Danio rerio: one gene and its partners. The protein of the gene in region 3 interacts with the protein of the main gene of each other region in a pairwise test. Links are inferred from orthologs where the notes say so. Each region holds a gene or a part of one and is shown on either strand. Other genes may lie near its edges.

Evidence for each region.
Region 1: the proteins of stac3 (region 3) and mab21l3 interact in binary tests that used the Homo sapiens proteins (3 or more experiments, as listed by UniProt). The two-hybrid records come from large-scale screens. The link is inferred for Danio rerio from reciprocal best matches to the Homo sapiens genes STAC3 and MAB21L3.
Region 2: the proteins of stac3 (region 3) and srek1ip1 interact in binary tests that used the Homo sapiens proteins (3 or more experiments, as listed by UniProt). The two-hybrid records come from large-scale screens. The link is inferred for Danio rerio from reciprocal best matches to the Homo sapiens genes STAC3 and SREK1IP1.

The regions. Positions count from the first base shown.
Region 1 is NC_133184.1:37,578,377-37,582,367, reverse strand, and holds the start of mab21l3 (protein mab-21-like 3), read right to left. Parts: upstream 2,801-3,991; 5' UTR 2,664-2,800; coding exon 2,616-2,663; intron 1,789-2,615; coding exon 1,648-1,788; intron 1,546-1,647; coding exon 1,474-1,545; intron 973-1,473; coding exon 681-972; intron 1-680.
Region 2 is NC_133185.1:12,053,266-12,057,367, forward strand, and holds the start of srek1ip1 (protein SREK1IP1), read right to left. Parts: upstream 2,801-4,102; 5' UTR 2,703-2,800; coding exon 2,690-2,702; intron 2,313-2,689; coding exon 2,265-2,312; intron 1,491-2,264; coding exon 1,338-1,490; intron 1,183-1,337; coding exon 1,107-1,182; intron 172-1,106; coding exon 1-171. Other genes in the region: spliceosome-associated protein CWC27 homolog, read left to right, coding at 3,504-3,545. UniProt on the Homo sapiens protein: Possible splicing regulator involved in the control of cellular survival.
Region 3 is NC_133184.1:267,660-271,159, reverse strand, and holds part of stac3 (SH3 and cysteine-rich domain-containing protein 3), read right to left. Parts: intron 3,334-3,500; coding exon 3,177-3,333; intron 2,994-3,176; coding exon 2,896-2,993; intron 2,815-2,895; coding exon 2,754-2,814; intron 1,528-2,753; coding exon 1,430-1,527; intron 1,051-1,429; coding exon 984-1,050; intron 209-983; coding exon 162-208; intron 1-161. UniProt on the Homo sapiens protein: Required for normal excitation-contraction coupling in skeletal muscle and for normal muscle contraction in response to membrane depolarization. Required for normal Ca(2+) release from the sarcplasmic reticulum, which ultimately leads to muscle contraction.

The DNA of each region.
Region 1 (3,991 bases), about 37 Mb from region 3:
GAATAAAAGCAGTTATTAATTTTTTTAACACAATTTATGAGACAAGATTATTAGCCCCTTTAAGCAATTTTTTTTTCTCGATAATCTACAGAACAAACCACCGTTATACAATAACTTGCCTAATTCCCCTAACCTGCCTAGTTCACCTTATTACCCTAGTTAAGCCTTTAAATGTCACTTTAAGCTGTATAGAAGGGTCTTAAAAAATATCTAGTAAAATATTATTTACTGTCATCATGGCAAAGATAAAATAAATCAGTTATTAGAAATAAGTTTTTAAAACTATTATGCTTAGAAATGTGCTGAAACAATCTTCTCTCCATTAAACAGAAATTGGGGAAAAAAATAAACAGGGGCGCTAATAATTCAGGGGGGCTAATAATTCTGACTTCAACTGTATATGGTGTATATGGTGTATAAAACAAACAGAAGATTAAATGTTGTGCTACTTATGGAATCTATAATATGAAAAGATATTATAAGAGGATAACAAAACAAAAATAAAAGGTTAATAAATAAATAAATCTGTTATCCAGTTATCAACAGAACATATATCGAGACATCAAATTAAATCAAGCATATTAATATTCTGTTTGTGACTAGAATATCATTAGTGTATAGAGATTTTTCATTATTCACCAGCATTTACACACAGATTAAACAAATATTAAAACTCTAACTTGTCAGTCCGCGGGTCTTTATAGACGTCTCCAGAAGATCTTTGAAGACGTTCACCACCTTGGCTGGCACAATGTCACCTTCGATGGTCATGCGGGCATCGTGCCACTCCTGACTCGGGTTGACAAAACTCTCCAGCTCAAGCCATTGGTGGAGCTTCTCCGGCTCACGAACAGGTGAGAGGAGACGAGAGCCAGTCAGTGTATAATAACGCCACTGACGTGTCCGTCTCTCTTTATAGCCCATCAGGCCCTGCAGAGGCACTGAGATCAGGTACAGGGTTGGAGAGAGGACCTGCACAAGTCACCCAAAAAAAACATCAAACTAATCAGTACATCTATTCTGTTTATCTACTGTATAATATAAGCTTTTCTTACTCTGACTTTTTGTCTTTTGTCTAGTCCAAAAATATTAAAATATAATTTTCTAGACCTGGGGTGCCACTGTAAAAACCTTTAGAATATAGATCTGAATCAAACAGTGCACTCTGGCCTATGTAAATGCTGCAAAAGTACCGCAGCAAAAGTATTTGTAGCTGCATGCATGTTACATAATAACACCAGTTAAAGTTTACAACAGTAAATAGGAAAAGTACAATTTTGACACCATTTACTTGTTTCAAACCTGTATGTCCTTCATTCTTCTGCGGTACATTAAAGAAGATATTTTAAAGAATGTCCAATGATAATGGTGCCAAAATTGGTTCAGCTCCCCATTGACTTACCTAGTAATTTTAATTATAGAATTTAAATGTTGGGGTTGATCTATACCTTTTTAATAAATACTACTGCTTACTTGTATGGCAGGGTTGTATGCACATCTCCCTCTGAGTAATGCAGACCATTTTGACATTAAAGCAGGCTGGTCCTGAATTAGATTGTGGACACAAGAAAAAACATGATGTTATAAATCCAGCATTATAATGCAGTTAGTATTTTTTATATAGATGAGGCCTATGTGAAGCATTACTTTGAGGCTGGCGTTATGAACTCCAGCATTTGCGATGGACTGGAAGCGAGCGTCTTTTGAGCTGACCTCCGTAGTAAGATCTTTGATGATTTTCTGCACATCTTCGACACACTTTGAAACCTGCCGATGTCTGAGATCCACCTGACGATACATTTAACATCAGAAACAGCAGAATAAACCAAAAAAGGAATGTTTTTTTTATTTTTATTGAATCTATCTGAAATACTACACTAAACTCAAATAAAATGAAACTAAATAAAAAGAAATCCTCTAGCTATTTGTTTATTATTTTTATTTTATTAACACAAATTTTAAATAAAAAATAAAGAAAATAAACAAGAAATAAAAACATTACACCACTAAGACAGCATAATAAACAAAATAAAATAAAATAAAACAAGTTATGCAACTACAAATAAAATAAAATAAAAATATTTTATTACCATACAAAAATAAAATAAAACAAGAAATGAGGAATAAAAAGAATAAAGAATTAAACATATTTTCATCTGACTACAAATAAATAATTGAATAAATAAATAAAATAAATTAATTAAATTAATAAATAATAAATAAAAAATAAACAAATAAATAAATGCTATGCAGCCTGTGTTAAGAAAAACTGGATAGTCTAACAACAAATAGATATTTAAGTAAATAACAACAACAAAAAAAACTAACAAACATGTCAATTATGAAGACTATGGTAAGATGTAAAGATTGTGAGTAGTACAGCATATTCGCATATAAAACATTTAAGCTAAAAACAAGACAATAACACATTCGATTAGAGCAGAACAAACACTGAATAAAATAATTTTTAAAAACTCTAAAAATAAGCCATCTAAAATTATTATTGTTTAATTAAAACACCAAATGAAATGGTTATAATAAAAACTAATAACACATTAACAGTTTAGTTTAGATCTCGGTGCTCAATAAAACCAATGACAGCATAAGTAGGTCACCTGATTTAGCAAATAGTTATCCAGATCTTCATCTGTGCAGTTGGTCATGTTGTAGTCTACGCTTACAATAAGCTCTTTTCAGATGCTATTTTAAGTCTTCTTTTCAGCAGCAGAGCTTAATGTTGTGTCTTTGTGGCCTTTTTTGCAATTCTTTTGTGTCCCTGTGTACGTGCAACACAAATCGCACAAGGGAAAAGCACTTCAGCAGAGCCATTGATTTCACAATATTGATTCCCGAGATGCTAAAAAGCTTGTATGTTCCTCTGGGCAAATTAGTTCACCAATTGCTTACTCACATGACCGATCACACTCATTTGAATATAAACATTTGGTTTTAATCCAGCAGACTGCGCCATATGCTGATTATAAACACGCAACTGGATCACAATTGTTGTTGTTAATGTTGTTTATCAACTTACGTGAGTTGGAATTTATTGAATTAAAGTATGCTAAATTTAACAAAAAAAAAAAAGCATTAAAAAGAGGCCATTATAAAGGCTATATAATGTAAAACTACACCAAGCCTCTGGATTCTCATACTTCACATACTAAAATAACATGAACAAAAATATGCATGTATTGTAAACAATATATATCAACAATGAGAGCAACTGTGGGACAAATCAAATATTAAGAAATAATCAAATGCTTAAAAATAATATACAATAACTTGCCGGCTTAATTTTTCAGTTTGGAGCCCTCTGTAGCCTAAGTCAAAAACTCATTGACCACTATACCAATTGTGGATGAATTGGATGACCTTACATGGTTCAATTCAGTACAGATCAGGTGATGATGATATGAAAAAAACCCTGTCACAATCACTTGCACTACAGCCTTTAACATACATTGACTGTCTGTGGTGAAGATAAAGTGAACAAATGTCTAAATAAATAAACAAACTAAATGTTATATAGGTATTGGAAGTGGAACTTACAGCACAGTATAGTCATAATCAATAAAGAAATGTCTGATTGAATGAATGAACTAATTATTAAATAAAGGAAATGTTTTGTCAATAATGGAAAATACGGTAATGTTTTATTGTAGGCAGAGAATTATAAACACTTAATAGAGTTTGAAGGTTGTATAACAAAATAATAAAAAATATATTATTATGGAATTTACTGTGAGACATTAAAGGGGTAGTTCACCCAAAAATGAAAATTACCTCACCCTTTACTCTCCCTCCCCTGTGGTTTTATGAGATTATTTTCTGTTGACCAAGAAGATATTTTGAAGAATGTTGGTTGCTGGCACACGTTGACTCCTATAGTAGGAAAACAAAAATAACTAATGAAGTAACAGAATATCTTATTTTGTGTTTAACAGAAGAAAGAAACCTTTGGTTTGGAACTAGTAAATATGAGTAAATG
Region 2 (4,102 bases), on a different chromosome or scaffold from region 3:
GATTCAGAAGAGCTGTCAGATGAGGAGGACTCTGTGTCTTTCTTTTTCTGTTTCTTCTTGTGCTTCCTTTCTTTCTCTCTCTTCTCCTTCTTCCCTTTCTTCTTATTGCTCTTGCGCTTTTTCTTCTTTTTGCTCATTTCATCCTCCTCCTCATCACTGGATGAATAAGACCTGGAGGTATGAAAACAAGATAATCAAACAGGATGCTGATAACGATAGCTAAACAATACATAACCTTCACAAACAGAAGAATTAAATAATTTTTCACAATAAATCAATGCAAGAACATATTTATGAAGAACGAGCAATTAGGGATGTCCCAATCAGGTTTTTTTGGCCCTCGAGTCTGAGTGAATTGTTTGTGAGTATCTGCCTATACCGAAACTGATCCGATACTTCTATAATGCCAAAAGAATAAAGAGCAAAAAAAAAAAAAAAACAGATCCAGGATGTTATGTTATTTTTACATTTAAAAACTCTGTTATGAAACAGAGCACTTCTGTGTGGTAGCTTGAACACAATCAAGCAATTAATAACAAATTCTTCACTTTTGGACTTTAGTGCAGCAGTAAATCTATTATAAAAACAAATAGCACCTCAACTTAAAATACCTGGCATGCAATCCTAACTTTACATATCTCACATATTGCTATGGCAATGTTGTCGTCATCAACTTTATGATACCTTCAGACCACAGGCATACTCCTGCTATATATATCCTGACCAGGAGGTTACGTCCGATTCTCATCAAGTCTGAAACCACGTGAACGGGCCCAATTTCCGATCATGTGATCGGATCTGGACATCCCTACCAGCAATACCCTAAAACAGTGGTAACCAAACTTGTTCCTGGAGGGCCGGTGTCCAGCAGATTTTTGCTCCAACCCTAATCAAACACACCTGAACAAGCGAATCAAGGTCTTACTAGGTATACTTGACAAATCCATGCAGGTGTGCTGAGGCAAGTTCAAGCTAAACCCTGCAGGGACACCAGCCCTCCAGGACCGAGATTGGTGACCCCTGCCCTAAAACATACATTTATTATAAATGTATCATCTTAATTGGATTTTTTTATTCTTTAAATTATGACAAAATAAAAAGTCTACCTCTTTTTTGCTTTTCCACGTGATCTCTCCTTGCTTTTCTTTTTATGCTTTTCTTTTCTAGAATCTTCCTGTGAACCTGTGTAGAAAACACCAATTTTTACAAAACGATCTTACTGTGGCAAATGATCACTGCAAAATCAGGGACTAACAGCAATGTCAGTATCCAGGTAAAGGAGTCACTGAAATGGTAAAGAGCCAAGACAGAATCGGAGTCTAAAGCGGTGAATAAACCTTTTGAATGGCTGCCGAAAATCTTTTCTTTACTGAGAGCTTCCTGCTCCTCCTCATCGCTCTCCTCGGTGCTGGTGCTGCTCACGTCCAAAACAATATCCTTCCTTGGATCCACGCGAAGAAAGTTACGACATTCAAAGGTAAGATGACCAGCTGATCAAAGGAGAGAAAGAATATATAGTTTGATTGTATTTATGCATAGACACACTTGTAAGTACACATAAATGTAATTCAATCAAAACTTTAAATATGCATTTTGTAAAGATGGATAAGTTAAATCGATCTATAGAGATACATGGATAGATATACAGAAAACAAGAAATGTAACACAAGCCAAACGTCAAATATGTTCACGTTTAGACCACGGGTGTCCAAACTGGGTCCTGGAGGGCCGATGACCTGCATATTTTAGTTCCAACCCCAATTAAACACATCTAAACCAGCTTATCAAGCTCTTCCAGGAAGGTCTATTGAAAGAAGTTGGATCTAAACTATGAAGGACACTCCAGGACTGAGTTTGGACACCCCTGGTTTAGACAGATAAATGGGCAAACAAATCCAAATTCATATGAAAATGTTAAAATATGTATTTTTGTAGATAAACAGAAAAACTGTCAAAAGTAAACGTAAATTAAACTTTAAATATATATTTGTGTAAAGAAAGACAAAAAAAAAAAAAAAAAAAACGCCATCCAAACAACACTTCAATTAAGTATTTATGTATATATTTATCTGTGGATTTGTGTGTAGATAGAAAGATGGTACATGGATAGATGGACTATGATTCATTATCTTTATTTATTTACAAGCAGAAATATAGAAAAAAAATCTACTTATAAACTGAAATATTGTTGGAAAGAAACTACAGAACAAAAAAAAAAAGCAAAAACAAAGTCAACTGTAAAGTTATGTTTTTGCCATACTCACGATAGCCACATCTTTTACATCCAGCTCTGATGTTGTCTTTATTTGGACCTGTTCATAAAAAGACATTCAATTCAATTTATATTTCTTTAAAAGTGTCATTTACATTGTTACATATATTCTGTATTGATCATATTTCATAATGGATTCATCTAGCTCACCATTTAAAACAATATCAAAGAAAGTATGTAGAATTAAAATAATGCGTCGTCATGAGATTTTATAAACATTATTAATCAGTAAACCGTAACTGTAAATGTAAAACATTCAGGAATTCAGGAACAACAGTCTTTTATTTAGGTAAATGTGTGCGATGTGAATGTCCAGACGAGCGAAGATAATCGTGCAGTGTTACTACCTAGAATAATCCCGAAGTAGCATATCAACAACAATCAGCAATGCTTATGGACAAACCCACAAAAGTATACCTGGGGCAGCCATGTTGTACTCGATTATAAATAGATAGAAATGATAACTTTCGTCGTATTCCGTCCGCCGCTTTTCAAAACACAAAACCGATCCGTCTGGTAAAAGAGTCCGGGTGGAAAGTGAACGAGTGCTCTATGGTACCATTTGGAGAACAGTTAATCCCTTCCATAGATGCATGAAAAATATGAATGTATTACGAAATATTAGCGCTAAAAAGATAAACGCAAGATGCTGCACTGAAAACCAATAAATATTGTCACGATAAGAGATAATTTGCCATATCTTTATGGTTTATCTGAATTTTGAGATATTGGCTTAAGCAACAATTTTTGGGGATACATTTTTCTGAATAGAAAGACACAATTTTCACTCGCAGGACAAAATGTTTTAAAAAATGCCAACACTACAATACTATACTACACGCTATAATTCAAAGACGACAATATAAGTGGAGATTATTTTCGTGATGTGCCCTGAAGTTTTAAACTTTACACATAAAACATGGTCATATTGATTATAATGATTGCTTGTAAAAATAAAAATCTGTCTCTCAATGTTCTATAATCTAAATGGTACGTTTATATTTACTCCGAGACTATAGGGGGCGATAAGGCCGAACAAAGTCTGCATGACGAATGAACGAAACTCTGCGGCGGCGTGACATGAAGCGCTTGTAAACAGAACATACTCTGGTACTTTATATCGGCTAGACGTGCTTCTTATGTTTTTGTAACATCTGCGCATATTCTGTACATTCTCTGTCATCAATGAAACCGTGGTGAGGGAAGTATACTCCAATAATACGCACTAAAGATGAGCAACATATATATTCAAGAGCCACCAACTAATGGAAAGGTGAGTTTCCATATCTCAAAATCATATTCATGATATATAATACTGCATATACACTAATTTGAGTCTGATTTTGCTTGCAATTTAAGTATTTTATTTACTTGCATTTTAATTATGAATTATGCAACGAATCAGTATTTTACGAGAACAAGCAAGTTAGTACCTTTATACATTTGTTCACGTATTTTAGAAACAGAATGGCTTATTAAACCTTTAAACTAATGCTTTAAAAAAACGAAAAAAACAATGAAAAGGTTTACACACATGTACATTTAAGATAAAAGAATATTCTCATATGTAATACAGCTCATCAGGGTGAAATTCTAAAAACCTTTAAATTGGTGAGATCTTTACTCTTTAATAGTGATCTTTAATAATGTGTATATAATATAATATATCTGACTACTTAAATAATACACAAGTGTTTAAGTTGTCATTCTAAATCTCCCAATAATATGTATTTAATAATAAAATGCTTCGGCGACGCAGTAGGTTGTACTGTCGCCTTACAGCAAGAAGGTCACTGGTTCGAGCCTCGGCTGAGTCAGTTGGCGTTTTTG
Region 3 (3,500 bases):
TGCAGGCACACTTGAAGCTTTTAGGCAATACCAGTAAGATTCTGGAGTCAAGGCTCATGAAGCTAGGAAAAGGCTTCCTAATGTTGACATGCCAGTCCAATCTTAAAAAGAGGATTATTTTTCTTTTCTGACACACACAGCACAGCACAGCAGTCTTTTACCTTGTCATCTGTTGCGGTTTTGTCTTTCTTGTCTCCATCTTGCTTCCCTATCAATGAAGTATACAGTATGCCCATTCAGCACTTAATTCTGTAGGTAATTCATACATAAAGCCAGTGTGGATGCAACCTCCCTTCAAAATGTTTTTCTCGTTAATAAAACAACTAAATTAGCAGGCCAAGCTCATGTTTGAAGGTAGTTAAAGTTCAAGACATCACTAGAATTCAAAGAAAACATGCTCATTAACATGCTTTACATCATTTGTGATAACCACACTGCAAACAAAGATCATTTTATAATGGACTGTGTTTTATCCAAGCAGTCTCAAAACATGACCAAGTTTTATGGCCTTATCATACACCTGGTGCAATAAGGCAGAAGACGGGTATGCCGCAATGTGTTGCTATTTTCAGACCAATGCAACAGTAATTTTCATAATTTGTGCCATGTTGTTTAAATAATAAATCCATTTGCACCACTTTGTGGACGCATGGGTTTTTCTGGTCTGAAAAGGAGGTGTGTTAAGGCGCATTGTTGGAGCACTGCTATTCTAAGAAACTAAAATGGACTGTGCAATAGATCATCTAAAAGCAGGTCTAAAGTCCAGCGCAGAGCGCGTTACTTGTGCACCTTAAATGCTCACACACTAGAAGAGGCTCATCAGGTAGCCTCTCCTCATCAGGAGAGGCTAATTGCCTCCTCCATACCCCTCTGTACACCACATGAACACAGCACCACAAAACCTCAGAGAGACTGAAGGAAGACGCACATGTCAGAATAAAGGTCGAAATCAACCCAAAACCACACGGTGCAGATATGCTTACCCTCAGCGCCCTCTTCATCCTCTTTGGGCTGTTGAGCTTCCTCCTCCTCCATCATCATCATCATCATCTTCAGGAGACACACACACACACACATACATTCATTCATTCATAATAGGTAACAGCGAGAGCTCAGACACATCTACAACAGTCTCTGTGCTGCAGGTCTTGTCTGGTCCTAAAGTCTCACTTCTTTTACAGAAACAGTTTACTTCACTCAGTCTTATTAAGCTTCTTTTTGCCTACAAACAAAGAAAACAAGCACTTTATTGGAAGTATACCGTGGTGTTTATGAAGATGAATTGTGAAGGAGCTGCTCTCTCTCAGCATCTTCACTCAGTTCATCTTCATACTTCTCCTGATGCACTACCATCGGCTCCTGCTTGCCCAATCCTCCAGTAGACCTGCCAGGTACATAAGTAACATCCTGATATCCTGTGGTCACTTACGTTCTTCTTGTCCTCTGAGCCTTTCTTCCTCTCTTTATTGGCCATGATCACTCCGACTCTCAGCGTGTCGAACACCGGATCTGTGCGGTTCTGCTGACCTGTGCACAGACATGCTTCTGTAGGTTAGTGTTCAGTTCAGAGATGGAGAACTTTGTTCCTGAAGGGCCTTAATCCTGCAGAGTTTAGTCCAACCCTCATCAATCGAGGATGTCTGGATGCAGAGCTGTCGCAGATGCAATCTGGGCTGCATCCAATGCTTTTTAATGCTCTCACCAAACCCCACCCCTTACCCTACCCGTCACAGTGATGTCACTCACTCCATTGAGTGCACTGTGTCTGACATTGCATCGCTGAGTGATATAATCACAGCTTGCATCATAAAGGCTGCATTCAGATACTATTGCATCAAACACACTAGAACAAGCTAATCAACAGCTGTGTTCAAAATTAACCCCTATACTCTCCTAAATAGTGGACTATTTGAGGGAGCATCTATAACTTTTGCATCTATCTATAGTCCGAAAGCTAAAGCTTTAAAATAACAGACTACATGAGCAGAGAGCTTCATCTCTCGTTGTTTAGTACACATTTCAACAATTATCAGCATATTGAATGTGTTTTAAACACAGCTTCATCCCTTATCATCATCATCAAGAGTTGTTTTAATGTAAATTAAGCCTCTTCAGCTGCTTCAGAACGCAGCAGCACGAGTGGTCTTTAATGAAGCTAAAAGAGCACATGTCACTCCGCTGCTCATCCGTTTGCACTGGCTGCCAGTTGCTGCTCGCATCAAATTCAAAGCTCTGATGTTTGCCTACAAAGCGACTCCTGGCTTTGCTCCTTATCTGCTCTCACTTCTGCAGATGTATGTGTCCTCCAGAAACTTGCGTTCTGTGAATGAACGTCGCCTCGTGGTTCCATCCCAAAGAGGGAAGAAATCACTTTCCCGAACTCTCGCGCTCAATCTGCCCAGTTGGTGGAATGAACTCCCTAACTGCATCAGAACGGCAGAGTCACTCGCTGTCTTCAAGAAACGACTAAAAACTCAACTGTTTATTTTCCACTTCACTTCCTAATCTGCAATTGCCTCTCTGGCTCCACCACTAACTGGATTACACAAAAGAAATAAATTACTAATGCTTTGCTTCTTACACTTTACACTCCTGAAACTCGCCTACAGCATTTCTTCATTGTTGCTCTTATAGTTGTGTAAATTGCTTCCTTGTCCTCATTTGTAAGTCGCTTTGGATAAAAGCTTCTGCTAAATGACTAAATGGTAATGTAAATCAGAAATGACCTCTGATTATTAACACATGTGACTCACCCGGGTTATTGATCTCCTGGTCATAGAGAGGAGAGCTGTACGCCCGTCTGAACCCAGGAGGCTGATGGAGAGAGGGAGATTAATCAAACTCAAGCTGAGCGTCTGGGTTAATCATGTATATTAAATATTTTTTTCATCTCACTATTTTGCCGAAGCATCTCTGGAACTGCACGTATGACTGGCAGGAGTGGTGGATGTTGGTCTTGCAGTTTTTACAGCGCAGCGCAAACTTATTATTGACTGAAAGTAGAGACACCACACAGCGCATACGTTTCATATCGTAGAGTTTCTTCTGCAACTTATGTGTGTATCTGATCATTCATTTTGGCAAGAACAGTTTACCTTAACAATGCAAACATATGAGGCAAAGGGTTGAGACAATATGTGTGCTGTTATTGTAACTTGCTATCAATGTGAACTTACGAACAATCATCCGTGCGCAGACGTCACAGAACTTGGGTTTCTTGCAGTAGTGGTCCTTGAATTTGTGTGGTTTGTCGTTGACCTGGACTATGGGCTCCGGGGTGGGTGGCGGAGGAGCTTCTTCTTCCTCCACCTCTTCATCATACACAAAATACACCTGAGGATGAGAAAATACACCTGAGAGGATGACCGAGTCGGCTGTGTGCTCACCGTACACACTGCAGGTCTCATTTATGAAGCCCCAGCAGAACTAACGTTGAAAACACTACTCAATAATAGTCCATTAGTTAATGTTAGTGAATGCAAAAACAGTAGCTAAAGTTC